Linked DNA regions of Struthio camelus. The main gene of each other region encodes a partner of the protein of the gene in region 3 in a complex. Links are inferred from orthologs where the notes say so. Each region holds a gene or a part of one and is shown on either strand. Other genes may lie near its edges. The genes, in order: STRIP2, STRIP1, STRN and PDCD10.

Region 1 (7,665 bases), on a different chromosome or scaffold from region 3:
TTAGTAGCGAAGCAGTAAATCTCGCCGGCAATTGCCGGGGAAACCTCTCTTAATTCTGCTTGCTGCCCGAGGGACGGGTCTGCCAGCGAGCCAGCGCATTTTGCCTTAGCGCTGCTGAAAGCTGTAACGAAGGGTCCAGTCGTTAGCGAGGGAGATCCCCCAGCGCACGTTAGGAGCCGGTAGGGCAGAGACGTGCCCACGCCAAGGCCGTCCCCGAGCGACACCGCAGGGATGGCGGCGGAGGGCTGAGACCCGCCGACACCCCCTTCTTCAGCAGCTCCGCAGTATTTTCCTGCTGCTTATGTCGAGTGCCAACCTTGGATGAGTCAACCGAAGCTGTCTTCTTCACGGGGCTTTTGCGTGGCGTTTTGTGCCCACGCTCGAAGAGCGGCCTGGCCGCTTGGCTGACAGCGGCTGCTGCTGCTGGCGTTTCGAGGGGGCTCTCCGAAACGCGGCCCCGGCTCGCTGTCCGCGCGCGCCGCCGAAGGAGACAGCGGCGCTGACCACTTTCGAAGGCCAACGTTAACACGAGGTCTTTGCCGAGCTGAGTTTCAGTCCTCGTTGAATCAATGCCTCGTTCCGTAGAAAGACACCTGTGGTAACGGAAACATTTCCCAGCTTCTCACGGGAGCTCTTGGAGTTTTATTTTCTGGTAATACTTGTTTATAACCTAATCAAATCTGGAATTCCCCTTGGACTGTACAAGACGTACCCCCGAACGCTCACCACCCCTGGTTTGGGTGCAGCGATCAGGATCACAAGCAGAGTTCAGCATCGCCTCAATCATGTCAAGTCTTGATGGATTAAGTCAGAGCTGTCAGAGAACAGAGTTGTCGTAGTGACTTGTTTTAGCCCAAGATGTCCTGCCCGAACGCTGCAAACAGCATAGCACGCCTCTCGGGGGAACTTGTGAAGTCTCAGTGTCTCGTCAGAATCACTTCTACGGCTCACGCGGAGAACGTGGTCCTTCTTAAAAAGCGCCGGAGTAGTTTAGGTAGCTCTTAGCGCCCCTGTGCTGGAGACCTGAGCACGTGGACGTCACCTGTGGTCGCTGCGTCAGTACCCGAGTACTGTCGCCACGCGAGAGTCTTGTTTTGTCCTCTCCGACTCCTTTGGCATCATGAGAAGGGGAATTTTTTTGTGGCAGCTTGTTCACGCACAAGAAAGGACAAACTGTGGAGTTACGGCCTCCGCCACCGAGTCTTGATGACGAGATCTGAAGTCAGCTTGTCCAGAGTCCGCTTGTCTTCGGAGCAAGTTTTCTAGTGTGCTTTCTATTCCAATTTTCTCTTTGAAGAGTTTGCAACTTCTCAACTAGCTTAACTAGAAAAGTAAGGGATGCATCAGAGAGTGATCGTTAACCACAAGCTCTAAATAATCTTCACTCACTCGTGAATTTTATTCGGATCGTGAGATTTTTGGGAAGAGTCCACTGAACTATTGTAAACTTCAAGTTTGGACCTGTTTTCTCACCCTGGAATAGCCTAGTCTGCAACAGCCAACAAACCGAGTTTCTTTTGTTATTTGTAGGTTTGTGGTGTGAAATCCTGCTCTCGGTGAAGTCATTCACAGACATCCCCTTGGTCTCTCCGGAGCTGGGATTTCACGCGAAGGCTGTGCTGCCCGAGTGGGCTTTTCCCGTTCTGGGTGAAGCCCCGGGAACTTCTCCACCCATGTAGTTTCGAGGTCTCGGACGTGTTGACTGCACACGTGGAAGGGGTAAAGGGAGAGAGGAGGTTCGCAGCGGAGGTTTTCATCTGCGCGCCAGCCTCGTCAGAGCAGAGCCAGCAGCCGGGACCTGGGGAACGTGCCGCCTCGCGGGAGCACTGCCCTTTCCTGGAACGGGCTCGGAAAGAGAAACGCGTATCCGATACCTCAGCCCGCTCTTTATCCCTTGAGGTTGCCACCGGCCTGTGACCCTGCCTGTTGACCAAGCGCTTGGTCCTTCTGCTCTCTCTGTGCTGAGGCCGGCTCCGGTTATCCCTGTGCTTCCTGGGACCTCCCCAGCCTGGCCAGCGACGCCGGGTCCTGGTCCAGGAGCGAAGCCCAGCCGTTGCCCGCAGCAGCCCGCAAAGAAGGGGCGCCTGCACTAGGGACAGGCGCGTGAAGGACGCCCAGGGTCTGGTCCCGCTCCGAGACCTGCTCCGGTTCCTGCTGCAGCAGGGCCGGGTGGGATCCCGGCGGGGCGACGCTTCCCGTTCCCCTCGGGGGCGGCAGGACGGCGGCAGCCGACGGCCCGACGCAGGGCCGCCGGCAGCTTTCCCTCCGCTTTCCGTGCGATGAAGGCGGCGACGTCGGCCTGTCTTTGATGTCTCGAGTCAGATAGGGAACGCAGGTGCGGGGTCGCGCTGAGCGAGGCAGCCCTTGGCAAAGGGGCTCAGGGACGCAGCGGGATCTGCCCCAGGAAAAGCGCTATCCATCCGTGTGACCCTTCGCTACAGCTCAGACCAGTCGCTTCCCTCCCCTGTGTCTGTCGCTAGTGGAGCATATGGTGGTGCTGTCCTCATCCGTGAATTCGTTCGTGCCGATTTTTTAAGCCCACTTTATCCTCCGGGTAAATAGAAGGGGGGAAAAAAAAAATCGTCCCAAATCTCGATTTTTTTAAAGCTTTTCTCCATGTCGTTCCGCTTTTTCGCTTGCTTGGCTTTTCCTAATCAATCTGGAATCCTATTCTGTGATCATCTCTAAATTAAACGTGTAATGGCTTTTTCTTTCTTTCTTTTTTTTTTTTTTTAATGTAACACATTTTTAAAGAATTAGGAAAAGGAGGTTTAGGTAACACCAGCAAAAATTGTATAAGGAAAATAATTCTGTTCTGAACTTTAGCAACCGTAGGACAAAACCTGTCCAAAAAAAAAAAAAAAAAAAACCCTGCCATAAGGAAATTAAAACTTTGGAACCATAACATTTTCAAAAGGATGTTTTAACTATTAATGTATGAGTGATTGTATTAGATCAGCAATAAAGACTCTGTAATCTCAAAACGCAAATAAAACATCGGAAAGGCGAGTGTCTGCGGCGCGTGCTTGGCGGCGGGGGCCGAGGCCGGCGCTGCGGCCGCCGGCTTTGCCCAGAAGGGAGGCGCAACCTGCCCGGGTTTTTTAAAAAAAAAAGCGGGGGGGGGGGCAGAAACCTGCGGGGGCCCCTGGGCAAAAGCGGGCGGCTTTCCAGCGTCCTGGTGGCTCCTTCCGCCGCCCCCGGGGCCGGGGGCAAGCGGAGGCCGCTGGCTGGGGTTACGGGCAGCTGTTTCGCTCCTGCTCCTGCGCTGCCCTTGGTGAAACCGGGCTGAATCGTGGCTGGGAAAAGCTGTTGCTTTTGCTGCGACGGTCGCCAGCGCCACCCCGGCCTTTCCCCGCCGCCGGACGCATCCTGCCTCGGCGCTGCCGCCTTAGGGGATAAAGGCGAAGGCTGAGAGGCCCCCGGCGCCTCGGAGGGGGCTGGCGGCGCCCTGGCGGGGACAGCGACCGGGGCGCGCTGCCCAAAGGCGTCTCTGCCCCCCCCGGGACCCCCCCAGACCCGCGGTGCCCCGAACCCCCCCGTCTCTGCCCCCCCCGGGACCCCCCCAGACCCGCGGTGCCCCGAACCCCCCCCGTCTCTGCCCCCCCCGGGACCCCCCCAGACCCGCGGTGCCCCGAACCCCCCCCGTCTCTGCCCCCCCCGGGACCCCCCCAGACCCGGGGTGCCCCGAACCCCCCCCGTCTCTGCCCCCCCCCGGGACCCCCCCAGACCCGCGGTGCCCCGAACCCCCCCCCGTCTCTGCCCCCCCGGGACCCCCCCAGACCCGCGGTGCCCCGAACCCCCCACGTCTCTGCCCCCCCCGGAAACACCCCCCAGACCCGCGGTGCCCCGAACCCCCCCCGTCTCCGCCCCCCCCAACCCGCGGTGCCCCGAACCCCCCCCCGTCTCTGCCCCCCCCGGGACCCCCCCAGACCCGCGGTGCCCCGAACCCCCCCCGTCTCTGCCCCCCCCGGGACCCCCCCAGACCCGGGGTGCCCCGAACCCCCCCGTCTCTGCCCCCCCCCGGGACCCCCCCAGACCCGCGGTGCCCCGAACCCCCCCCGTCTCTGCCCCCCCCGGGACCCCCCCAGACCCGCGGTGCCCCGAACCCCCCCCGTCTCCGCCCCCCCCAACCCGCGGTGCCCCGAACCCCCCCCGTCTCTGCCCCCCCCCCCGGAAACACCCCCCCAGACCCGCGGTGCCCCGAAGCCCCCCCCGTCTCCCCCCCCCGGAAACACCCCCCCCAACCCGCGGTGCCCCGAACCTCCCCCCCGTCTCCCCCCACGTCTCCCCCCCCCCCAGACCCGGGATGCCCCTAACCCCCCCCGTCTCTGTCCCCCCCCGGAACCCCCCCCAACCCAGGGTGCCCTGAACCCCCCCGTCTCCCCCCCCAAACCCGCGGTGCCCCGAACCCCCCCCGTCTCCCCCCCCGTCTCCCCCCCCCAAACCCGCGGTGCCCCGAACCCCCCCCCTTGCAGCCCTGCACCCGAAGGACACCCCCCCACACACACACCCGTGTCCCCGCCCCCTCCGAGGCGCGGCCCAATGGCGGCGTGGGGGGTGTGTCCAGCGGCCCCGCCCCCGGGAGGCGGCGGACCAATGGGAGCGGCGGGGGCGGGCCGGGGGCGGGGCGCGGGGAGGCTCGGCCCCCCACGTGCTCGGCGGCGCTGCAGAGGGGCGCAGCGCATGGAGGCGGCGGGCGGCGGCGCGGCCCCGGCCCCGGCCCCGCGGCCCCCCCAGCCCCAGCCCAAGGGCCGGGAGCTCTTCAGGAGCCAGCGGAAGGAGTCCGAGGTAAGGGCGGGGGTGGCCGCTGCTGCGGGCGGGCGGCCCGTCTGGGGCGGGGGGGGCCGGGCAGGGGTAAGGGGGGGGGACAACGAGGAAGCCCGGACGGCGCTTGGGCCGGGCCGCCGTCGGGGCGCGGGGGAGCCCGGCGGGGCCGGTGCCCCCTTTCGCCCGCAGGTCCGCGGGTTTGGCTGGGTTTGGGGTAGAGGCGCGGGGAAGGTGGGTTTTCTGCCGGATCCTTTCCCTGACCCGTTTCCTCGCAGAGGAGCGGGCGCCGGCCCCGACGGGGCGGCAGGCGCAAATATCCCTTTTCGCAGCCGGGAGCGTCCGCGCCGCCTCGGGGAGGCTGTCGCCCGCCCGCAGCGCGGGAGCGGAGGCGTCGCGACGTGGTTCCCGCTGGGTGGTTTCTCCTCCCGCCGCTGCCCCGCTGCTGTGACAGCGGTGCCGTCGGGCGGGCGGCCGAGTCCAGCCTTCCCGCGCCGCGGAGGTGCGAGTTCCCGGCCTTCGGAGGGGTCTCCCCTGCCTACGGCGGGCTCGCGTCCGGCCCCATCCCGCGTGAGGAGCCGGCATCAGGGGCGAACACCGCGAGTGCTTCGAGCCTCGGTGCAAAGCGGCAATGCCAACAAAACGCGCTTTCCACCCTCCTCCGTCATGCTTTAGAGTAACTGTTTGCGTTTCGCCGCTGAGCGCTGGGGAGCCGGGCACGGCGGCTCCCGAAATCCCGGCTGCCTTGGTGCCGCGGGCAAGAAGCGGCTGCGCGCAGAGGGTGTAAAATGCCTCTGCGGCCACCTCAAAGCATCGGGGTTAAGGACAAACTGGGGGAAACGTTGAGTTTTCGGACGTCCCTGGTTTTAGGCTTGATCCGGAGGCGGAGGGGAGAGGGCTGAGCCCCTCCGGGCCGGAGCTGCGCGTCCCCAGCTGCCGTGACCGCTAGTAACGACCATTTGCGCCGGTCCAGCCTGGCTGCCGAAACGGGATTCGGGGGCTCCGAACGGCAAATTAACCTAATTTACCGCGTTATTCATTGGCGTGTTTCCTCCGGCCGCCCGCGGCGCGCTCGGCCCGTCTCCGCCCCGATCCAGCGGAAGAGCTTCGCGCTCCAGTTACTCGCTGGGAGCGCCGCGTTCCCACGGGGCCGGGGCGCGTTTGCGGCCAAAGGGATTTCCTTGCCTGTGGGCTGAAACGGAGCCGCGCGGACAAGCGAAGGGACGGGGTGACGCCACGGGCGGCGGGTGCAGAGGCGTCAAACCGTCCCGGGGAAACCCGCCCGGGGACGCTGCAAGCAGCAAACGGTCACCGGCCGTTTGGGTCCTGCCGCGGCTTTCCCACGCTGCTGATGTGGCTGCTTTTCATGTGTTCTTTCCCAATTCGCGCTGTATTTTGAACAGTCCGAGCGGGCCCTGGAGACCCGTGGTGGTAACGACCATCGTCTATGCATGAGCTCGACGTGGAGGGTGTGGGCTCCCCGCGGACCGCCCCGATCGCCCCCGACGGCCCGGGAGCGGTCGCGTGGCCCCCCGGGGCAGTGTCGTGCCTCTCCGAGCCACGGACACCCCGCAACAGCCTGCGGGATAGGCAGCGCCACGGCGTTTCGCCCCTCTCCCCGCCTCGGCCGCTAACCGAGGATGCTCTCCGCAGGGCTCGGTGGACTGCCCCAACCTGGAGTTTGGGTACGGAGACGCTGACGGCTTCGCCGTGGAGCTATCAGGTACAGAAAGGGGCCGCAGCGGAGGCCGGGGCGCTCGGCCGCGTCTCCGCGCTGCTCGGCTACGCCTGGGTGCCTGCCGGGGCAAGAAATCCCGTGCGGAAGAGGGCGAGCTGGACAGGAGATGGCTCTTGAGTAGGCTTAGGCCTACGTTGATAGGGCTGGTGTCCAAGAAGGGCAGAGGTCGGTTTTATTTTATATTTTTTTCCTGGCTTGATCTGCCCCCAGGCAGCGTTGGCGCCGTTTACCGCGCGGGCGGTCGAACGCTGGGGCAGGCTGCCCAGGCGGGTTGTGGAGCCTCCATCCTTGGAGGTACCTAAAGCCCGACTGGACGCGGTCCTGGGTCCTGTTCACAAAGGGGTTGGACTAGACGGTCTCGAGGTACCTTCCTACCGCGACTCAGTTTTGCACTTCTGTGACACCAAGTCGCAGCCTTGCCTAGAAACCTGCTGAACAAAAAAAAAGCATGTTGTCCTCTTCTCCAGCCAACTAAAGGCTACAATATTCTGGGGTCAAAAATGATCTGGGAAAAAATGAAGGCCATGCAGCTGGCTGGAGGAACAGCCACGTGCCGTGCTGGATAGCGCAGGTTGGCAAGCATCTCCCTTTCCACCCGGCACGCGCATCTACACTGCATCCCGGGAGCATCCGGCCCAAAGCCGCTTCTCCCTGAAACACTCAAACCCGTCGGCCTGAAATCAGGGCAGGTTTCGGCTGGCTGCTCCTGTGGTCCCTGCTGTTGCAAATTGACTTAATAGTGACCAAAAATCACTCCCCCCCCCCCCACACACAAAAACCCTACAAAAGCGTAGCAAATGCAGTGCAAATATCTGTGCTGGCAGCCAGGACCAGGGTGAGGTCCCCTTCCAGACCTGCCTGGAAGTGGTGAAAGGCCAGAAAAAGAAACGGAAGGGAAAAAGGGACGAGAAAATCAGCTAAAGCTGCAGCGAGTTTCAGAGCGATAGCACTAGAGCTTTTCCTTATAACTTAGCAAGAGCTATGGATCCTATTTTGATTTGAATTGATTTCAGTGCCATACAGATCAGGATATCTGTGTCCTCTCCGGGGCAGATGGTGTGAGCCGGGAGACCCGCGGGTCCTCTGCCTCCCTTCCCCCTCCGTGAAATCAGGATGAGAATTAAGCTGAGTTTAGTAGCAACCTCCGGATGCCGCCGTGTCTG
Region 2 (6,976 bases), on a different chromosome or scaffold from region 3:
GGGAATTTGCTTTTCCCCGTACTTGCCCATTCAAAGAGATGGGAACGAGGTGGTGTTTTGGGCCTGGCACTTGGGGGGCGATGCAATTTTACTTCTGCGGAAGGAGTGGCCGTGGTTTTTAGAGCAAGGCTGTTAGCTTAAAATGAACAATCTCTTCCTTTCCACATGACGCGGCAGCCTTACGGTGTAGGAGAATTAGAGCCGCTCCCTTTCTTCCATTCTCATGTTCTGGTTTTACTCCAAGCGCTAAGCCCAGATGCTGCAAACAGGCTGGGTGATGTCTCATTTTCAATCCTTCTGGTCCTCTCCCAGCAGCAGTCGGATCATGGAGATCCAGAGAAGGATGTACCTTAGATAAAAATGTTTCCTTCAGGAGATTTTGGAAATGTTGCCCCTTCCCTCAGACTCGCAAACCCTTAGCATTGCCTTTCCTCCTTATCTCCACTGCCGTGAGCTGTTGCGGGTGCTCAGTGCTCCCCTGGCTGGTGGCTGTCCATGAGCTGTCCCCTGTGATCTCTGCAGGCTCTGGCTCTGATTGAGCTTTACAACGCTCCCGAGGGCCGTTACAAGCAAGACGTCTACTTGCTGCCGAAGAAGATGGGTGAGTGAAGGAAGCTATCTGCTCGGCAGCCAGAACTGGGTTTCGGGACTGACTTGTCCTCCCTGGGCTGCTGTGGGGCCAACAATTTTGGATGTAAGGAAAAATTCAAATCTGGGCTGGACAAAACTTCCAGAGGATGGGTTCAAGGAAACCAGCATCCTTGAAACACTTGCTGGTTGTTCAATCTGTTTTCCTTAATGGCTGCATCTTGACAGGTAGCCCTTCTCCTGAAAATTTCCTGGTTAGATAGTTTACATGCAACCTTTGTGCCTTTCGGTGTATATCCAGCCCTTCTCAGTGCTGTGGTGTAGGCTTAGCTCTGTTTTAGGGTTATGTCACAGTGAATCCATGATGCTAAACGGCAGGGACTGCCTAGCTGGACCCTATTTTAGTTCCCTGTCTTTGTGTGCATTTGCAGTGGGGTGCCCTGGCCACGTGGCGAGTCCACGCCTCGGCTTCCCCAGCGCCAGGGCAGGGGGGAACTTGCGCCCTCCTGATCCCCACTTACCTCTCCTCCTTCCAGACGAATACGTCGCCAGCTTGCACCTGCCTTCGTTTGACGCCCACCTGACAGAACTGACGGACGATCAAGCAAAATACCTGGGACTCAACAAAAACGGGCCTTTCAAACCCAACTACTATAGGTCAGTGCCGGGTTGGCAGTGCTGTCAGGGCAAGGAGCTGCGGAGGCTGGTGGCTCCTCACCCAGCGGGTGCTGCTGGCTGTTGGGGACATCTCGTGCATTGGGGCAGCCTCGGTTCCCGGGGGCTGAGTGACCCCTTTGCAAATCGCAGCTGGGCTGCTGGGGACGTGCCGGCTCTGTCCCCAAGCACCCTCACTGTCCCCCCACTTCTCTTCCAGATACTGATGGACCATATCCATGAAGGACCAGACCACACAAGGCAACATTAGAGAGATTATTTTTAAAGATCATTTTATTTTAGTTTATTTTTTTTTAACCAACAAAGAAACCTGTTTTTATGTTTCTTTTATCAGTGTGATTTTAAGGCCACATTTTTTCCTCTGCTTCACCTTTTCACGTGATCACATCTCTGTCTGATCTTGGCAGACAGCCTGGGATTCGCTTCCTGCTTTGATGTGGCTGAAGCCACCGGTGGCTCTCAGCCCTCGCTCCCAGAAAGAGGTTTCCGTTCCTGGCATGTGAAGGGCGATTCATTCCTGCAGTTGTTGTTGTTATTATTATTTTTTGACCTTTCCAGCCCGCATTAGTCTCAGTTGGGATACCTGCAGATACGGAGATGCTGTTCTACCTTATCTTAGTTTCTTTCTTTGTGTGGATTATCTGCAACTTCTAAATTGCCTTAAAGAGCCCAGTTTTAGCTGCTAGATCAATGCTCCTAAAGCTGCTTGGGAGCAGAGTGGCACCTGCTGGCCACCTCGCGAATAGGTGACTGTCCCCAGCTCAGCCAGGGGCCTGGCACAGAGAGGGCCGGTGACCTGAGTTGGGTGTCTGGCTGGGTAGGGTCCAGGGTGCTAATCTGAATTCGGACGGGGGTCGCTTACCCAGCATTATCCTCATCTCTCCTAAGTTTGTTTTTTTTTTTTTAGTCAAACTGCACCTTAATTGAGTTAGAAACGTTTCGTTTCCCCCCCCCCCTCTTTTTTCTTTCTTAGAGATGTTTTAAAGCAGGGGAAGCAATGGAGATGGTGAGGTGATGCCCCCAGTTGGGGAGCTGCCTCTCCCACCTGGAAGCGCGGAGGTGCTTTTTGAGGGTTTTTTTTTTTTTTTGAGGGGGGGGAGGTTCGCTTTGCTTTTGAGACGGACGCAGAGATGAGCCTTTTCCCCGCGCTGTCCCCTTGGCCCCGTTGGCGCCGTAACCCGCCTGGGTAATGGCGCAGCTCGCCGTGCCCCAGCCGGGTCCGCGGACCGTTGCGCCAAGCGCTTGGCTCCCCTGCGCCGCCCCGGGCCTCGAGCTGGGCTTTCTCGGCCAGCCTCGCCGCTGCCCCGCGGCGCCTTTCCGCTGCTCCTGTCGCCTCTTTCGTCCCTTCCGCAGGTCTCGCTGGTGACGGCCGTTTCTCTTTTTCCATCTCTTTCAGCTTGTCCCGGGGGGCCGGGGTGGGGGGGAAAGTCCTTGCAACCCAGTGAGGTTTCTCTTTCCTTTTCCTCTCCCCCTCGCTCCATGGCTCTCTGCTCCCCCCCCCCCGCAGCACGGAGACCCCCCGGCTCCGGCGTTTTGCTTGTCCGAGGGGGCTCGTTCCCCCGCCGCGTGCCCTGCCGGCGTCTCCCGGTACCGAGATGTTTGAGATGCCGTGGCGCGGTGAGCCCGGCCCTCGGGGCCCCTCCTGGTGCCGCCCTGGGCTGCGCTTGCTCGGTGGCCACGCTGGTTCCCCGCCGGAGCCCAAAACTCCCTTTTTCTCTTGGCCGGGACTGGAGAAAGATGTAAGCGAGGGTTGTTCGTGGCTTCGATCTCCCTCTGTCCTCCCCTCCCCGTCCTTCTCCTTTGACTTCTTCCTCCCTGCTGTCTCTCGCCCTGGGCTGGTGCCGGGCCGCTCCGTCTCCCCTGCGCCCCGTTTCGGGGAGCGCTAACCTCGCGGGTCCGGGCGGCCCCCCTCGGCCTCCGCGGGGGGCTCGGCCCGCCGGCTGCCCCCCAGCCCGGCGGCCACGTGCCCCCTCGGCGGCCCTGGCCACGCGTAAGCCATGTCGCCCAGGGCAGCTGGGATCGGCGGCGGCGGGCTGGGAGGGAGAGGTTTATTTTGTATATGAATGATTTTTAATGAATGCAATATTAATCCTTGCAGATGAGCAATAAATCATTAAAGTCTAATTAAACTATTAGGAAAACAATTCTCTCGTGCTGTGCGCATCTTCTTTGGAAAGAGCGAGCCAGCGGGGCAGTTTCAGTGGGGTACTGGGTCACATTTGAGCCCCCCCAGCACCTCCAGGCCCCTCAGTTTGGGGTTTGAGCCCCTCTGAGCCCTCCCAGGCCTCTTGATTTGGGGTTTAATTCCCTCACCCCACTCCCTCTATTGCGGTTTGAGCCCCTTTATTTGGGGTCTGAGCCCCCCATGGCCCTTGATCTGGGGTTTCCCCCTGTCGAGGCCCCTCTGCTGTCTCCCAGGCCCCTCGTTTTGGGATCGGGTCCCCTCCAACCCCCCCCAATGGAGCCTCTTCCTCCTTGCTCCAGGTCCGCAGCTCTTCCCCTTCCTGCCACTCCCAACATGGCGGCCTCAACGCGTCGGGCGACGCCTCCCTGGGCTGCGGCAGGGAGGAAGTGCCACTCCCAGCATGGCCGCGGTCACCTATGTGCCACACCTAACATGGCTACCGGGGAGGGGCGGGGCTCGGCGCTTGGGGCCGGGCGGAGGGCGGGGCTCCGCCGTGACGCGCGGCGCCGTGACGCGGCCGGGAGGAGCCCGGCGCCACTCCCAACATGGCGGCGGCCCTGCCCCGGCTCTCCCTGCCGCTCCCGCGAGAAGGGGGGGTGAGTCCTCGCGAGAGCTCGGCGCGGCGCGCGGCCGAGGGCGGCGGACATGGAGCCGGGCGGCGGCGGCGGTGGTGGCGGCGGCGGCGGTGGGGGGGGGCCGGGCGCGGGGCCGCCGCCGCCGCTCCCCGGCAACAACAAGGCCCGCGGCGGGGCGGCGGCGGCGGCGGCGCCGGGCAAGGCCCGCGACCTGGGCCGCCCCCCGCGCAAGGACTCCGAGGTCAGCGCCGCGGCCCGGTCCCGGCGAGCCCCGGGCCGCGGCGTGTGGGGCTGGGCGGCCTGGGCCGCGCCCGAGCGGAGCCGGTTGGGGGGCGGCGGCGGCTCCTCCCGAGCTCGGCGGGGGGACGAGGACGGCGCCGCTCGGCGGGGCGCCGGCTCCTCGTGAGGCGGCTCCCCCCGGGCCGGGGGTGCCCCTGGAGGCAGGTGGCGCCGCGGCGACCCTCGGGCCTTAGGGGCCCTGCGGGGCTCGCACCCGGCTAGAGCTGGTTCTGGTTTTTCCCCCTCTCGGCCCTGCCAGCCCGGGATGGCGACTTTTATTTTCTTATAAAACCCTCCGACCTGGTTCCTTTCCCAGGGAGGCTCCAACCGCTTGACGCCAGGTCCGGACGGCGCGTCCCCTTCCAGGGGCGCTGGCGCTGCCTTTGCGACTTGGCCCGCTGCGGCGGAGAGGCTGCTCTGATACCCTTTCCCCCCCTCCCGCGGTCCGTTGGTCCCTGGCCTGCCAGCGCCTGGGTCCTCGTGCGTGGGCGCTGTCCCCCGAAAGCGCTCGTGCCTGGGTGCAGCTCAGCGGTGGTGGCCGCTTTCCCCGGCGGCGCGGGAGGCCTGCCAGCGCCGGGGCGCCGTGCATCAGGATAGGGCCACCAGGTCTCCCCGAGGCTCCCGAGTCGCTTCCAGCCCTTGCAGGGTGACTCAGCCCGTCACCTGCGACCCCGCTGGCAAGTGAGCGAGCTGCCGGTTGAATCCGCCCCTCGCGCGGGAGCAGATGCCGCAAGAAGCACGAGAGTTGCACTGTGGGTCCGTGCTGATGACTTGCTTAACGGAAACAGATGTTTTGTTCCTGTGAGGCAACTGCTTCTTGCTCCTGGCTCAGTGTTTTCCCAACCTCACTAAAGCTGCCTGAGGTTGCTTCCCTCACTATTCAAATTCTCTTGGCATTTCTCCCTTGCCAGCTGGCTCCGTACTGGGGTGGTAGCCCAGATTTTCGTGCTGGCCCGTGTCTGTAGAAAACAGGCGAGCTTTGAGAGCGCCCCATTTCCATCTGACCTGCTCCCCTCCCGAGATTAAACGTGCCCCGTCTCCTGGTTTATGTTTTGGCCTTTTCCTTTGGAGTCCTGAGGTGTTTTACAGGTGGTGCAGTGGCAGAAACACAGCCTGGCTGAATGCGGCTGTTGGCTACCAACAGCAAGGCTAGGGAGAAGGCACGAATCGAGATGCAGGAGGTGGTTTAGGGGTTGCCTTGGTAACGTTTAAGCTGCCGCTGGTAAATTTTGGATCTCTTAAACTGAAAATACAGTCCTGGACTTGCAGCAGGGTGAGGTGCATTGTGAATGTCTTAGGGATTCTTGCTTTCCTGAAAAATTCTTTAATTTAACTGAATTTTCATTTTACTTTTAGGGTTATTCGGAGTCCCCAGATCTGGAGTTTGAATATGCAGATACCGATAAATGGGCAGCAGAGCTCTCTGGTAAGGGAATTGTCCTGATGGATCGATGAATCAGTCATGATTTCTTTCTTGGTAGCAATTAAAGGAACTCTGTCAATGCCACTATGACTTTGTTGATGTCTTTAAACGCCTCCTTTATGTTAAAAGGGATGTGATGTCATGTAATTAATTCTTTGCCGTATCCTGGGTTTGCGTTTTGCATTTCTCTCATCTTGGTTACAATGGCAGTTAACTTGGCCGGGCTGCTGCTTTCTCTGACAGCTTGGTTGCAGGTTGTTGGAGAAAGAGACCTTTCTTCAGGTTCTTGAAACGGCATCTTTTCTTTGAAAAGGCTAATCTCAAGCTTGACGGACGCTGCAGCTGCATTACTCTGGTGTGAAACACTGCCTAGAAATCGTCTAGCAGTGAAAGCACATAAATCAAAAAAAGAAAAGGTAGAAACGACTGTTTTAGTGTTTAGTAGCAGTTAGCCGTGCCTGGGTAGCCAAGGTTGGCTGCCCAGGCTCTGCCCTGTGGTTTCCCTGCTGTGTCCTGGCTGGTGTCTGCACATAGCTCCCTGAGAGCATGTTGGGAGAAACCTGACTGATTTCTCCGTGCTTCCTTGGCAGAGCTGTATAGCTACACTGAAGGGCCTGAGTTCCAGCTCAATCGCAAGTGCTTTGAGGAAGACTTTAGGATCCATGGTGAGAACCTTCTCTTGTACTTCTCCCCACTTTGGGCAGGAATCTCCTGGAGGAGATGTGCCAGGATAGATGCATTACTACTGCATCAGAAAGCAGGATCCAGGCACTGACGGTCTTCACGTGGTTTGTATTTGAGACTTGGTTGATGTGCGTTGGCTGGGCCCTGGAACGCAGCTTGCTGCATCTGGCTTGTTCAGCAGTCGCTTGTATTAATGTCCTAGATGGTTCATTAATGCTACAGTGGCTGTGCTGGAAAATCCAGGCAGCAGCAAGAGCAGCCAGCTCGTTTTCTATCAGCTGCTGGGTGTCGCTGATGTCTGAGTGCTGCTAAAGCCAGTTCGGATGGGTGTGATTTATCTAGTTGTGTGATGGAAGGCAGGAGACGTCCCTCTGCCCAGACTGCACATACCTTATTTGCAGCCTCTCATGAGCACCTTGTTCAGTGGGGCAGTCCTACTTTCCCTCGTTGTGCATGCTTTGAGTTTTTCTTGTAATGTTTATGTCCAGTAAAGATAGAGGGGCTGTACGTGCCCTCAGCCTGGCTGCCTTGGCTTTTCAGTGCGGGACAAGAGATGGACTGAGCTGG
Region 3 (7,395 bases):
CCTTTGCTTCTGCATCTACGGCATCTAAGGATCTTCATGAGTTTGCACTTCAGAATCTAATGCACATTGGTCCACTTTACCCACATGCTTTCAAGACAGTAATGGGAGCTGCTCCCGAATTAAAAACACGTCTGGAAACTGCAGTCCGAGCAAGTCAGGCCAGCAAAGCAAAAGCAGCTGCTAGGCAACCACCACCCACAGTACATTCCACCCCAACAATTAAACTTAAAACTAGCTTTTTTTGAATTACTTGTATTATTTTTGGACCATTAAATAGTCAGAAGCATTACATTATTCCTGATGTGTTACTGCATATGTCTGTAATTTTGTGTAATTTGTATGTGAAAGGCTATCTAATGGAGCTTGTGTAATTATTTGAAATCCATGCATTACAAGGGAAGTGGTGTTGCTAGTATTTGTATAGATTTTTAAGAAATTGAATGTGATCATATTTATGAATTTGTGTTATAAATATCCACCACCAAAAAGTATTCTCTATCTTACTAAATTGTTTTATTTATTTTTTTAAAGCTACCCTGAACCTTTTTGAGTGGTTTTTGAAATCTAGCAAATGTTATCCTACCACTGTGCCAACAGGCTAACACAGTGGAGGGAGGAGAACCTGTTATGCAGTACTTACTGTATATCACGGGGAATTTCAAGTGTAGAAGTATGCACTTTTTCCCTTTAAAAACAAACTAGGGTAAGGGCTTGTCATACCTAGTAGATCACTTCAGCTTGCATGAAAAAAAAAAAAAAAAAAGAATTGAAAGTTTTTAGTCTTTTTCAAGCATGTTCTTATAGTGAAATGTCCTTATTTATGTGGTGTATCTCTTTCTTTCAGGTCCATTTCCATGCTTGAACATTAATAAAGGGTTCAAAGAATCTTATTCCCTATCTCTTCTAAGATAAATTTTTAAAAAGCACATTGGAAATTGAGGTTGTGAAGGGGACTGCCTGCTATCTGCATTTCAGTAGCTATAGTTGCCATGGGTTAGCAGTCTTTCTGTTCTGCCAGACGCTAGTTAAATATGGTGGTTCTCTTTGCCTGGATTCCCAGATATTTGCTTTTTCCTGCAATTTTTAGTCTCATTGGCTTTCTCTAATCTCCAGTCCTTGATAAAGTTTGCAGAACCAAATGACTTGACTCCTTTGCATCCTTACTGAAAATAGAGAAGCAGAACACAAGTGTGAGCCAGGTAACTCCAATTCTTTCTTCCATTGCCAAGATTTTCTTTCTGGAAAAGCACTTGGCTCTCCTCACATGTGAGTGAGTTTGGTTGATTTGGGGATTTTGGAGCTTAAGCGAGAGCTCAAGTGCTGTGTTAACCTTACAACACAGAGCCAGTGGCTCCCATTTGGTCATGTCTGTCTTCTGCCAGACCTCACCCTTCCTGTTGGCAGAAGTATAGAACCATGTATTTTCTTGTGTATACAAGACCTAATATACAGAGATTTTTTTGGACACTGTTGTCAAATTTCTAGACTGCCACAGGGATCTTTTTATGCATCTTTGTTTTATAGTGACAGGCCATGTAACTAGAAGCCTAGGATAGGACTGTATGGTACAGTTAAGTTTCATCTCTGATGTTTTTCTGCTACGTGTATAGCAGGGTTCTGTAAAAACTCTGTATGCTTCAGAAGTTTCTACTTCAACCCAAATACAGCAAACAGATAGTAATTAGAATTGGCCGAAATATTTGTCGATGATCATTTTTGTGTAGTCACTTGCCTCTAAGTCTCGTTTCCCACAAGAGCTTTATATTGCCCTTTGGGTACTTATGCAAAGAAAAGCTTTTATTTCACAGCAAATCTTCTAGTACTAACATGAGGTCAACACTGGTGGAAACTCTAATCTCTCAAATAGTTTTCATAAACATGCGAATCTTAACTCTCTAGTCTTGTTCCACTGTCCTACTGGACTAAAGATACATGCAGCAGCAAAAATAGTATGCGGTACGCAAGAAGGAAAGCAATTTCAATATTCACTTTTCTTCTCTGTAGTGGGAATTGATTAAAATGTATTAGTTGCTAATAACTGTTTCAAAAAAAACATTACCAACCTGTTTTGCTGAGCAGTTCCAAACCTGTTTAATGTTTGAGAGAAAGTGCAGTTGAAGTATCAGGGGAACTCTTTCTAGATATAAAGTTGACCACAAAGATTTTTGCAAATTAAAATGGAAAAAATAACCTCATAACTTTTCTTAGATGTTTTTTCCCTAAGTAGTCTAGTAATTGGTAACTCTTGAATGTTTGTTGTAGACTTTTTGTCTATGTCTATGACTTCAGCTTTATTTACCTTAATTTTGTGTCCCAGCACTATCATGTTCTGGTTTGACTCTAGTTTACAAGATGGCTGAAAATTTAGTGGTGGGGGGTGGAGGGAGGGAGAAAGGGAGTAAATATACCAATCAAGCATAACTAAGAAGCCTGTAGAAACGTAGTAAAAATGTTAGTGGAAGGGAAAACAGGGCTAGATAGATGTAGAGGGGTAGTGGAGAGAGGTTTTCTTTTTTTGTGTACTGTCACACAGTATACAAAGTGCTCAACTTTCATTTGCATTCAGGCGTCTCAGGTTTCTAGCCTGCATTTGCTTTTGTTGCTCTGGATACTAAAAATATAACTGTGTGGTTTTGCATAATATTTTGGCATAAAACTTCATTTGATTTAAAAAAAAAAAAAAAAAAAAAGTGAAATGCCTGTAGTGCTTTTTGTTCTTCCTTCTCTTTTGTCCCCTTCCTTTTAATGTTTTTCTTTGTTGATGGGCTTTTTAGTCTGTTTTTTTCATGAAGCTAATTCTCTATTTCCCCTTGAAGTCTTTCCTCTTCTCTCTCCACTATTTCCTTCCTTTCTTAATGAGCCTTGTTGTTCTACCCTGCTTCTCTACTAAGTTTCCCCCAGACTGCATTCCCTGTTCTGTGCTTTCTGTGATGACTTCTAGTCTCTTGATTTTTTTTTTTTCTTTCCCTAGGCTTCATTAATTATTTTTCTTTTCTTCTGCCTAAAAATGCAAAGGGATCATCCTCAAGACACAATTGTTATTTTGGAGGGCCAGGTTAAGAAGCGGGCAAGTATGATTTCAGAGCAGCTAGAAAGAGGAAGTGCTGCTTGAGTAAGCAGAGAAGCACTCCTGGGCGTGCAGGGTGCAGCGAAGGGTGCTGGGGCTCTTTCTCAGCACCTCACGCACTGCTATCACATGAGCGTGTCTGGGTACATCGTGGCTCTGTAGTCAGTGATCCTATTACATGCAGCATTCTCAGTGGCCTCGTTTGATCTTTTACACACATTTATGTTCAAGTGGAGAAGACAGAGTGGTTGCTAGTGCTTAACCCAGCAGTAAAGCCTTTTTGGTAGTGTTGCATTTTGTCTCTCTTTAGCAAGCCTCTTGTGTTAGTATCTATGTGGCATGGAAAGCAAGCTTGACTCTGAATCTTCTTGCATCCTTGGGAGAGGTGTGAGAGAGCAGTGCCTCTGACAGCTGCAGTCATGAAGGATGCTCACTTTTCCTTGCAGACTTCCTCCCCCTCCCCCCCCCCTTAACCCAGGGCTTTGCTACTGGTTTCAGAAGTTTGTTTTTTCTCTTTCCTCTCAGTTAAGGCAGTGTAGTAATTCCCCCAAAAATGTTCTTGTCCTCTTTTTCATTAATCTTAAGGTTTTCAAGAAATCACTGTAGTCCTGGGATGGATTTATAGTTTTCAGTATTTTGGACAGAGCAATTCTCTAGAACATAGCCAAAAAAAGGAAGGATCAAAGACAGGAGTTGAAATTGCAGGATTTGGCAGAACTTTTGTGGCGCTGCTGCGCCAAGGCATCACCGCGCTGCGGACTGAGCGGGGGCGCGCCAGATGCCTGTCCTTTACACCCCCGGGCTGGGCCGCTAGTATGCCAAAGCCCTTGAAATCCTCCTTGGCGAGGGAGCTGCTCGTTAGTCCGTGGAGGAGGGCCTTGCGCCCTCCCTGCTCCTCGCAGCCCTCCGTCCCTCTCCCTGCAGCGGCCTTGCAGGGCAGGGGCCGAGGGGAGCCGGCCGGGGGGCGCGGGGGCCTCAGGGCTCCGCGCCCTTTGCTGTTGGGATCAGGCCGCGCGGGGGGGGGGGGGGATTTCCACCCGCTCCGTTCGAGGCTTACTGCTCTCTGACGCTTCAGGGGGATGGGACTCCCTTCCTATAAGGTCATTCCTCGAAATGAGGGCAGCGCGGAGGAGGAAAAGGACGTTTCCCCCCCGCTCCGCTTCGCAGAGCGCCCCGCCGCCCGGCGGAACTACACTTCCCAGAATGCTGCGGGCCGGGCCGGAGCGAATCGCTCTCTGGAATTGTCCCCGCCGGGCCCCGGTAGCAGCCGGCGGGGGCGGCTGTCAGGCGGTGACGGCGGGCGGGACGCGCCCAGGTTGTTGCTGCTGCTGCTGCCGGGACGCGGCTGGGTGCGGGCGGCGGCGGCGGGGAGCGAGGCGGACCCGACCCGACCCGGCCCGGCCATGGACGAGCAAGCGGGGCCCGGCGTTTTCTTCAGCAACAACAACAACAACAACGCGCTGCTCCTGCCGCCGCCGACCGGCGGGCCGGGGCTGGAGCCCGGCGAGGCGGCGGCGGCGGCAGCAGCGGCGGCGGCGGGAGGCGGCGGCGGGGTGCCTCCCACCGGGGCCGGGGCCGCCGCGCCGGTGTCGGCGTCCCGGGCTCAATACAGCGTGCCGGGCATCCTGCATTTCCTGCAGCACGAGTGGGGCCGCTTCGAGGCGGAGCGCGCCGAGTGGGAGGCGGAGCGGGCGGAGCTGCAGGTAACACCCGCGACCTCCTCCCCCTGCCCCAAACCCCGCGGCTGCGCCTCGCCTCCCCCCCACCGGGAGCGACCCCCACCCCTCCTCCCCGCCGGGCCCAACGCGGCCCCTGCCTGCACCGGGCCGGGCCGAGCCGGGCCGCCCCGCGCGGAGGGGCGCGACATGGCGGCGGCGGCCGCTGCCGGGCTGCGCGGGGCGCCTGTGGGGCTGGTCTGGGCCCCCCCGCGGCCTGCGCCGGCGGCGAGGGTCGAGCTGCTGGGGCCCCCACACGGCTGAGCGGTCTGCCGGCGGCGGCGGGGCGGGAGGCCGCGGGGTTGCGGGCCTTCCCCTGCCGCCCGAGGGGGCTGCTGGGCAGAGCGCGCCCATAAATCCCCCTTCCTTTGTGGGGCGGCTCGTGGTCCCCTCCTCTTCCTCCTCCTCCCCCCCCCGCCCCCCCAGCTGGGGCACCGGCCACCTGTTTCGTAACCCGCTGTTCAAAACCAGCGCGGCCGGGCACGTCGCGGGGGGGGGGGGGGGGGTAAAAAGCCACCGGGCGGTTGTGCTCGTTAGTACGTTAAAGGCTTTAATAGTGATCTTGTGGTTAAACAACTCGTGAAGTGCTGGCCTAGAGCCACCGCTGTCAGATACTTCAGTGATGAGTGCGCTGTATTAACTCTAATAACAGCGGAGAATACAACCTTTGTTGTTGTTATTCTTTAGCTTCGTTGACAAGAAAGTCTCTGTTACAAATCTGAACTCTGTCCGCACCACCAGTAGCCCGCTGTTTGCTTCTCAGTGGCCCGTGTTTGAGCTGAAAAGTGTCTGCTCAGCTTCCTTTTTAGCTCTCCCTTCTTTGTCTTCTACTTCCTGTCCGTCCCTTTTCTTTCTATTTCTTTCCTTGAAAGTCCTGTCTTTGTCAACACTGTCTTTCGCCTGTATAGCAATGCAAACCACTCCTCTCTTTTTTTAGTTAGTGGGAGAGTTGCCTTTTTAATAGTGCTTTTTGTAGTAAAGTAAACAAAATCGCTGTGAGAAGAATGGTAGACGTGACAGCCTTCGTTGGGGGATCTCTTGTTGGAACTTCAAGGAAGTGGTCATGAGGGCAAGAGGGAGATGCAGTACTTATGGTAACCTGAATGATTCAGTGAAGAATCTGTTAGTAACTGAATCAGGTTTCTAGTCAGTATAATGAATACTATGTAGAAGGTTACTAATTTAGTATGTGTATTTGGAACATCAGCTGTCACGTATCTGCTGGAGTCTGATAAGTAAGCATCTTGATAGTTTTTCATAGCTGATACAGATGTCTCAAACTGCTTTGGAGAAAAAACCTGTTTTACGGGATCTGAGAAATTCTGCCAGTGCTTGAATAGCAAAAGCACGATGCATATTTATAATGCCTCTCAACAGGGGCCTCCCATGCTCCTAGTACCCTTCAGAAGCTTTGAAAGTATTATGGATGAAATAGGAGGCAGGTTTAAACCATTTGCCGGAGCTGTGTATTGTCAGTGGCAGACTGGGAATATAACCCAATTACAAGTCATTTGCTTGAACTCCTTTGGCTTCTGCCGGAACATCTCAATAAAGTTGTAATTAGCTGTGATTGGCATTACCATAAGCTGTAACAGCATTTATCTGCTGCAGAGTCATGTTCAGAAAGGTGCAGAATTCTTGGCTGTCTCTATAGGCATCGGCTATAGATGTTATGTCTACTGTGACCATTTACAATTGAACGTTCTTTGATTCATGTGGGAGGTTTGTGTTAGGGGTTCAACGGCACTACTAGGATGGCGTTTGGAAATTGCGTATGCATAACTGAATGATGAGCAGTATTAATTAAAAACAGATTCCACACTCCTGAAGCCTTTTGTTGGCCTATATATTTGGAAGTGTTTAACTGAATAATGGAAATCTGAGGTCATGCAGTTTCTCTCTCTTGAGATAAAGATACAATGCTCCTGATTGTACTTTATTAGTCTTCCACCCAATCTAAATTTAAATGTTAAATTATCTACTCTCTTGGGAGATTGTGTGGCAGAGATTCTATTGTGTATGGTGTTCTTAGTATCCCATAAAGTTTATCTCTCATTCATCTTGTTTCTTAGAGGTAGTCCTTTTATCCTCACTTTCCTACCTACTATGGTATTTTAATACTTTAGATGTTGTATGCCACAGGGTTACCATGTTTGGCTTCTGCTCTGTAGTCATTGGTTGGTTGAGCTATGCTCTTACTGAGAAACACCTTGAAAATCAATTCCACAGTGATTACCTAGCTTCCTTTTTTCCCCCCTTCAGGCTTCTCTTGTTTATCTGTCTCTCTCCCCCCTTCCCTCCCTCCCTCCCTCCCTCTCTCCTTTTTTTTTTTTTTTTGTAGTTAGTTGCGTGAAATTAAATGTGATATTGAGGAATACCTTTCTTTTGCATTATGTGATGCTTATGCAGGTGACACCTTTTCCTCGAGTTTCAAACAGTATGTAAGCTGATGTGTCAGACAGCTTGCTTTCTGTTCTTGCTTATTGGTTTACTGCTGTTTTTTCAATAACTTGATACCTCCTATCGAGTGCCTATATTTTGCTTTCCTTGGCAAATATCCGTGTTTGTTCTGATTTTCTGATTATTTTTCTTGAATCTTTGTTAATTATTCTT
Region 4 (7,449 bases), on a different chromosome or scaffold from region 3:
GCAGCCTAAACACTGACCATAGGACAGAGGTACTTGATAATAATTCATATTCACTAGGTATTTTATAAAGACAGAATAATATATTGCCTACACAGAACATGGACTCTTAGAAATTACTTTAAAAGGTGTTCAACCATGTCAAAAGTACATCTTCATAGATGAAGAGCAACCACAGAGCAAACTTGAAATTGAGAAAAAACAAGAAAGTAATTTTCCAGCAACCTATCTAAAGAGCCAAGACTAGCTAGATTTTAGATCTTAATGTGAAAAATGCTACTAGCACTAACTGTTCTCCATTACGTTCTGCAAGACAACAATAGAAGTGGAATTAAGCTACATGTAAGCCCATGACATTTGTATCTATAGAATAAATTTAGAAAAAGGCTGCAATGCTTTAACATTCACTTTTTTAATAAGTCAGCTGACCAAAAAAAAACCAAAACCAAAATAAAAAACCCCAAAGCATGCTTAACAACTTAGCGCACTTCACAGCTCAGAGGTGTGTTAATCCCAGTCATTTCTGGAATCAATCTTTTCATGTGAGCCAGCAGTGTTGTAGCTAAAGCATTTAATAGCCCAGGCACACAAGACTGTGTAGATTAAAAAAGTAGGTAAGTAGCTGGGTGGTGACTTCAAGAATACTGATTTAAAATAAAACAAATAAACTAAACCATCTTGAACTGACTACAGAATGTGAAAACATAGGATGAAGAGACTGTGTGGTCAAGATAACTTTTGGAACTCATGTCTGCATTTAACATAACCTTAACACTGCCACAGACCTTCCCCTTGTGTTCTCCTAGCTGCTTCATGTAATTCCACAGACAAGTGTTAGATCTGTCTTAAACTAGAGGCCCTTAGAGTCAAAACATGTTGAGAACCTCTCCAAATTACAATTCAAAACCAGCCACAGAGGAAGTTTATCCAGTCCCTTGCTTACAGATTCATATACTTGCAATATGAGATTGCTCTGATTGAGCAAAAAACAGATTATAGTGCTCATCAGTTATGTAAGTAGGCCCTTTCCCCTGCAGATATTAAAACAATTGAAAATAAAGAATATAGATTCTATTTTACTCTTGATAATCATTCACCTAACTAGTCCTGAATAGCTTTCCATTCACAGACAGAACTCACTTATCACATGGCAAAGGTAAGATAACCCTTACGGTTTCTTTTTTTTCTCTTAAAAGGAAGATTTGGGTTGCCTTCTGCCTTCCTTACTTCTGTAAGACACATATGCTTGCTATACCTAACTACTCATTACTGAAAATACCCATATATTTGTTATCCAAATCTGATAACCAAAGGTAACATCAAACAAGGGAGATCTTTCTGGGCTTTTATCAGAGAAAAATGATTCAAAAGATTAAACAGCATCTTTCCATCATTACCCTTGCTGTACAGGGGGATTTGAGATCTCTAGTGCACACCCATGCATTTTACAATGCAGCAGAAATTTAAAGACTTCTTCTTGCTGTATCTTTTGATTTTAGGTTTCTTTTAATTCCAATTCTCTCTCTTCCCCCCATCCAACACCATTGAAACCAAACCAAGAAGAGGCAGAAAAAGAACCCACTCCTTCCTAAGCATAAGCAATTGTTTCAAACTTACTTGCTCTCCCCGCTAAGTCTTGAGAGCCCTACTTTCAGCTTTCCATCAAAACACGCAATTCATCTTTTACGCTTTGCCAACTTCAAATTCCCTTTTGGGAGGATATGAAGAAAATAACTTGGAAAAATGTGGTATTCTTAACTTCATCTTGTGTTATGCAAATATTTGTTAGCTACATGTCTTTCTCAAGTTCAGTTACACAGGTGATACTCAAACTACCTTGAATTTTTTTTTCATGAACATTTAGCTACGTAATTTTTTTTCTCCTGTTATTTTCCCCACATGGGTTAGAAAGAACAGAATGAAGAAAGCTGAGCCTTAGGTAAACTACACAGATTTTCAAATATCTAAAAAAGCTATACCCTAGACCATAGAAGTACCAATCTGTTGTGGGGTAAACGTATCTTAAAACTTGCATTATTAAGGTAAGGGATTATTTAATACAATATCTAACCCTAAAGGGGTTAGGTAAAAGGGTAAAACCTCCCTTAAAGAAAAAGGGTAACAACAACCATTCCTTCTCTCTCCCTCGCATCCTAGAGGGTAACTCCTCATCACACTCAAGCAAGCTTACAGCTACAACAGTTCTGAAAATCGTGAAGGAAATGAAAATAGTGAAGTATAAATCTGGTCTAAGACCTCCCTGCTTAAAAAAAATACAGAACTTAGGAAATATAGCTGATAGAGGGAGAGAGATAGTTTAGAATATTCTATTTTAGAAGCTTTGTGGCTTTATTTTAAAACACTGATTTCACAGAAAAGATAAAATGCCATAGACAAGCATAGACAGCATAAAATGCCATAGACAAGCATAAAATGCCATAGACAAGCATAAAATGCCATAGACAAGCATAAAATGCCATAGACAAGCATGTACCTCAATCTATAAGATGACATTTTGGTAAAGTTTCTCATCTAAGCAGGGTGGCATAGTTTTTCATCAAACTAAAGTACTGGTCCTTTCAAAACTGGTAAGATAAAAGACTTGGTGTATCAAAGATAAGAGGCAATTAATGAAACATTTCAAGCATATCATGCAAGTTACAGGACTGATCCTTTAACAGCCAGATATATTAAATATTTGACACACTGATCATACATAGATCTGATTACAACAAGAACTGGTGGGGAAAAGGGAAAAAATTTGTACACACAAGGAAGTGCAATAATCCAGGTGTCCTTCTAAGTGTTCTTGCTTACCTATGTGAAGCGTGTTTTGAATTGTTAACATATGTGGGTATATGTGCATGATATGTACGTTCAGAAAGACAGATGTCAGAAGTCTTCCCACTTTGCCATTTCACTGCTACTAGGAGTCACAGATAATGCTTCTTAAGTTTAATCAGTTGCATACTCATTCACCTGCTTGCATCAGAATTTGGGCCTTGTTAATATTAGGCCACGCTAGCCAGTAATTTAAAAAAAAAGTTTTTGTCCTGACGTATGCAAAATGCAGATACAAACCTAAAACTGAATTACACACTTCAACAATATTAAATTCATTTTAAATACAATTAAAAATTCAAGTCTAAAGCTTTTCAGTAACACAGCTGTTTCTAGCAAATAACGTGCAAGTTTATTTAAATTTCTTAATGGACAAAAAATGAAATACTCTGTATATGGCAGGTATATATACTATGTATATGTTTTATGAGCACTGAAATGCTTTACAATGTTGTTATAAGTAAAAGGGAGGATACCATAAGATAAAGCTGGAACTTCTGCTTTTAGACAAAAAGGATTATTCACAGTCACAAAGTTCATAACAAACAGAGTCATGGGTCAAACGGTCAGGGCACGCAAGCATTTTAACTGAGAAGGGAAAGAGTAGCTGCTGTAAATATCCGTATAAAAGTTTACCCAAAATCTTCATGCGTAATTGGACCTTCCTGGGGACTAGGAGATGGCCAGGTAATTCATTAAAATATATCTTCCAATCTTTTTCCCTGTGATTTCCGACGAAAGGAAAAACCCGTGCCTCAAAGGAGGGAAGCCCGTCAGGACAGGGCTTCAGAAGTACAGCTCTATTCGGGCAGCTACCAGAAGAGCCGCACAGACCTGTACTCTATCACCCCCTCCGGCACGAACGAGTTTTTAAGTACTGCTGCAGCACTTAACCACAGAATCACTGGGAGACAAAGCGCCCGTACCACAATAAAGACGCTGCGAAGGGGAGCTGAGCGTCTCCTCAGAGGCGCGGTTCTCGCCTCCGCCGAGGAGAGCGGACGCGCTCCCGGGCGCCACAGGCGGGTGCAGACGCGCACAACGGATGACTTAACAGCAGCAGGTTTTATATCTATTCCCCCGCCCCCCCCGCACCCCTTTCTCTAACTTCTCCTGCCGGCGGGGAAACACCTTCCTCCCTCACCGCCTCCGTCCCTGCCGCGGCGGGAGGGAAGGCGGCGCGCGATGCCTCCCCTCAGGCGCTAACGGACGGGCTCGCGCGGGGAGCGCCGCTCCCCGCGGCCGTTACCGCCACCGAGCGACGGCGGCGGAGAGCTTCCCACAACCTACGGGACGAAACCACGCTGAGGAAACCTCCCTCCCCAAGCGCTGGCAGGGAAGGGACGAGCACACTCACCGCCCCCGGTACTGCTGCTGCTGCCGCCACAGCCATCCAACCGACACGCCCCCGCCCGCTCACCTGCCAGCGCACCCGCCGCTCCGCCGCGGGCAGTGTCCGCCGCGCCTCGGACACCGCCTGGATATTCTTCCCTACCCCACCCCGCCCCGCCCCGCCCCGCAGAAGCTCCGCCCCCTCCTCCCGCCCCGCGCTCCGATTGGGCGCCCCCTCCAACCTACTCCTCCTCCAGGTCTCCGCCCCCCCCTCCCCTCCCCCCGGGCCGAGCGCCGTGTTGCATTGTGGGACGCGTGGTGGCTGGCGGCGGACTACAAATCCCAGGAGCCTGCGCGGCTGCTGGCTAGTTCCGGGCAACGCCTGGTGTGTGGTAACAGCAGCAGACTCTTCCTTCTCGCAGGCACTTCCGGCGCGGCGACGAAGCCCACTCAGGAGCGCTGGGGGCTCGGCGGGGCGGGGGGGGGGACGGTAAGGTGCCGGGTTGCTGTTGGCGCGTGCCCGCGGGGTCTCGCGCGCGCTGCGGGAGGGCCAGGTTTGGGGTCTGTGTGTGTGTGGGGGGGGGGTCGTTAGTGTGTTTGCGTAGGGCCTCGTTCTCCTTTCCAGGCTGCGCTCCGCTAGGAGCGTAAAACGCCTTCGAGCATTGGGGCCTGGCTGAGGGGCGCGGGGGGGGCGGCCGAGCGGCGGGGGCCGCCGGCAGCGCCGCCCTGAGGTGAGCGCGGGGCGGGCGGACGGGCGGGCCTCGCCGTGCGGCGCGGAGTGAGGGAGGCGCCCCCCCTCTCGTCCCTTCCCCTCGCCTCCCCGCCCGGCCGCGGGGGTCTGGCCCGGGCAGGCAGGTGACCGGTTTCCCCTTGGTCTGAGGCCTGGTGCAGGCTCCTACTTCTCGCCGCACTTCCCTCTCCCGCGGCCTTCCAGGGCCCTCCCGTGCTGCGGCGGGAGCCGGAGGGGGGGTGCCCGCCGCCAGCCCCCCCCCCCCCCCGGTCCGGCAGCCGTCTTCGGCAGGACGCCCGGGCCTGGCAGAGGCAGGCCCGGATGTGTATTTTTAGCTCGTCCTAACGCTTGCGAGGAGCATTGTCAGGTGGCTTGGCCCCGCTGCGGAGCGGGAGCGCTCCGGCGGTGCGGGCAGGGTTTCGCTAGGCGGGGGGGGGGGTGGGAGGAAAAGCGTTTCTCTTCCTCCTCCCCCCCCCCCCCAAAAAAAAAAAAACACTGTAAAAGGGGCAGCTCTGCGGCTGCCCTGCTCGAAGCCAAACGTGACCGTGCCCGGCAGCCCGGGCTCAGCTGGCCGGCAGCGCTGTGCGGGGCTGCTGCAACAACAGTCTGGAGGGACAGTGAACGCTGAAGGATCCCTCTAAACTGCTCATTTAACTGGTGACTTGGCTTGGTGCCCGCAGCTTACAGGTGTTGGGGGTGCGGGTAGATGGCTGAAACCTTGGGCCAGGTTTTGTGTTTTTGCTGTATCAGAGGAAGTAGTTGCCTTCTGTTATTCATTTACTTGTTGGAACATGTTTGTGTGTTTGAAAGTGGTTTTGGTTGTATCTAGTTTCTTGGAGTATTTGATAAAAGAGTAGAGACAGAAATATTATGTTTACCTTCAAGTTCCCAAAGGGGAGGTGGGGAAGAGCTTGAAAGAGAAGCTGACATACGTTGTTTCCATTATGTATCCTAAGAGTCGTGACCTGTGTCAGTTATAATATTTTTAATTTAGGTAACTAATGAAATTGGGGTGCAGTCCAGGAGGCTATTCTTGTTCCTCCTGTGGCAAGCACAAAAAGTAGATATGTTAGGAAAACTAAACCATTCTCACTTTGAAGTTCAGCATTGCAGAAGAATGTGAATTAATTGTAAGAGTGATTTCAGAATAAGTTTATATTAAGATTTTTTTTAAAGTTGATCTAGCAGTAGACTAGTTGGGTTTATTGTGAATTGCTTGTGTGACTTCTGAATCACTCATAAGAATCGCGGTAATATAATGCATAAGCAGTTAAACTTGAGTTCACTCTGACAAAGCATAAGTGGCTATAGTGTATTTCAGCGAGTGTTTGGAAACTGCAAATCTCTTCAGTAGAATGTGTTTTAAAGAGCCTTTTAAAACTTGAGTGCTATCTTTTGATGATACTCTTTCTGTTATCTTTTCAGGGAAACTACTGGATATACAAATTAGAATGTGGAACTATTGCAGCAGAGTGCCTTTTTAACTTTCATGTTTTTTCTACTGGTTTTTGGAATACAGAAGTTGTCATCCTAGTTGAACTGTATGTTAATTCCAGTGAATGGTCTGAAAGTGAATGTTGAAACTTAAATTTTGAAATCGCTTCTAATTTTTAAAATCAAGCCTATTGGGCATAATGTTTTGTGCTATTCAATCTCTCTTATATAATTCAGTATTTCTTGGTGTAATATCAGGTTTTTGTAGGTCCCAGACAATACTGGAAAACATACTTGCAACACTAAGCATTTCGGAGGAGGGAGGAGGAAAGATCACAGTGGCAGAAAAGTGAACAAAATGAACTTTAAAAACAGTGCAGAAATACTACACTGAGATTTTTTTCATGTGTTGCTACCACTTTCAGACAGCACAGTGGAGACGATTTGTAATGCTCAGACTTGGCTTTTCAGTCCTCATCCCTCTTCCTGCCCCCAATACACACGTTAACCTTTTTCTCCTTACTTGCCTCATTGCAAGGAAAAAATCTTCACGTTTTTTTCCTTTTTTCCTCCCTTTCTCCAGGTGGCTAGCGTGCTGCACAGGGAATGAAAGTAGAGCTAAAGGTGATGTTTTCTTCAGTGTAAGCCTTTGGTTTCTCTAGTGGTTGCAGTAACTAAAAGTAGAAACCCATGTTTGTCAGCTAGATTCAGCGGTGGGTTTTGGATTTTTTTTTTCCTGTTTGTTTTCAGAGAAGGTGAGGTATTTCTCCGCAATATGTAGAAATAGTTTTTCTTGCTTGCCATTCAGAAAGTTGAAGCCAAGGCCTTCAGAAAGTGAATGACAAGGAATTAACTTCCAAATATCTCAAGCCAGCCAGCCTTACCTTCTTAGTATTCTTATTTAGACAAAGCCTTGTTTGCTTGAAAGATCACCTACTTCAGTGTTTTCTGGCAGTCTTTTTGCAAATGCTTACTGCATCATAAAGTCACTTAAATTTTTGAAAGAAGAAAAGTAGTTCTATATCTTAAGTACAAAGCTTAAAATCTTTGTTCTGTGTGCTTTTAAGTTATACAATGGGAAATGATTACAATCTAATTGAAGTATAGTGCTAGCA

What was found.
Region 1: STRN (region 3) and STRIP2 share a complex: the UniProt entries of both Homo sapiens proteins name them as parts of the core of STRIPAK complex. The link is inferred for Struthio camelus from reciprocal best matches to the Homo sapiens genes STRN and STRIP2.
Region 2: STRN (region 3) and STRIP1 share a complex: the UniProt entries of both Homo sapiens proteins name them as parts of the core of STRIPAK complex. The link is inferred for Struthio camelus from reciprocal best matches to the Homo sapiens genes STRN and STRIP1.
Region 4: STRN (region 3) and PDCD10 share a complex: the UniProt entries of both Homo sapiens proteins name them as parts of the core of STRIPAK complex. The link is inferred for Struthio camelus from reciprocal best matches to the Homo sapiens genes STRN and PDCD10.

What each region holds. Positions count from the first base shown.
Region 1 is NC_090942.1:1,695,123-1,702,787, forward strand, and holds the start of STRIP2 (striatin-interacting protein 2), read left to right. Parts: upstream 1-4,665; 5' UTR 4,666-4,683; coding exon 4,684-4,788; intron 4,789-6,417; coding exon 6,418-6,487; intron 6,488-7,665. UniProt on the Homo sapiens protein: Plays a role in the regulation of cell morphology and cytoskeletal organization. Required in the control of cell shape. Calmodulin-binding scaffolding protein which is the center of the striatin-interacting phosphatase and kinase (STRIPAK) complexes.
Region 2 is NC_090965.1:4,309,889-4,316,864, forward strand, and holds the start of STRIP1 (striatin-interacting protein 1), read left to right. Parts: upstream 1-3,962; 5' UTR 3,963-3,993; coding exon 3,994-4,044; intron 4,045-5,658; coding exon 5,659-5,728; intron 5,729-6,315; coding exon 6,316-6,390; intron 6,391-6,949; coding exon 6,950-6,976. Other genes in the region: AHCYL1 (S-adenosylhomocysteine hydrolase-like protein 1), read left to right, coding at 523-601, 1,125-1,245, 1,463-1,469. UniProt on the Homo sapiens protein: Plays a role in the regulation of cell morphology and cytoskeletal organization. Required in the cortical actin filament dynamics and cell shape. Part of the striatin-interacting phosphatase and kinase (STRIPAK) complexes.
Region 3 is NC_090944.1:102,274,160-102,281,554, reverse strand, and holds the start of STRN (striatin), read left to right. Parts: upstream 1-4,395; 5' UTR 4,396-4,470; coding exon 4,471-4,770; intron 4,771-7,395. Other genes in the region: HEATR5B (HEAT repeat-containing protein 5B), read left to right, coding at 1-245. UniProt on the Homo sapiens protein: Calmodulin-binding scaffolding protein which is the center of the striatin-interacting phosphatase and kinase (STRIPAK) complexes.
Region 4 is NC_090950.1:28,962,564-28,970,012, forward strand, and holds the start of PDCD10 (programmed cell death protein 10), read left to right. Parts: upstream 1-4,448; 5' UTR 4,449-4,555; exon of another isoform or gene 4,556-4,724; intron 4,725-4,844; exon of another isoform or gene 4,845-5,025; intron 5,026-5,463; exon of another isoform or gene 5,464-5,557; intron 5,558-6,325; exon of another isoform or gene 6,326-6,441; intron 6,442-6,917; exon of another isoform or gene 6,918-6,958; intron 6,959-7,449. Other genes in the region: SERPINI1 (neuroserpin), read right to left, coding at 4,196-4,231. UniProt on the Homo sapiens protein: Promotes cell proliferation. Modulates apoptotic pathways. Increases mitogen-activated protein kinase activity and STK26 activity. Important for cell migration, and for normal structure and assembly of the Golgi complex.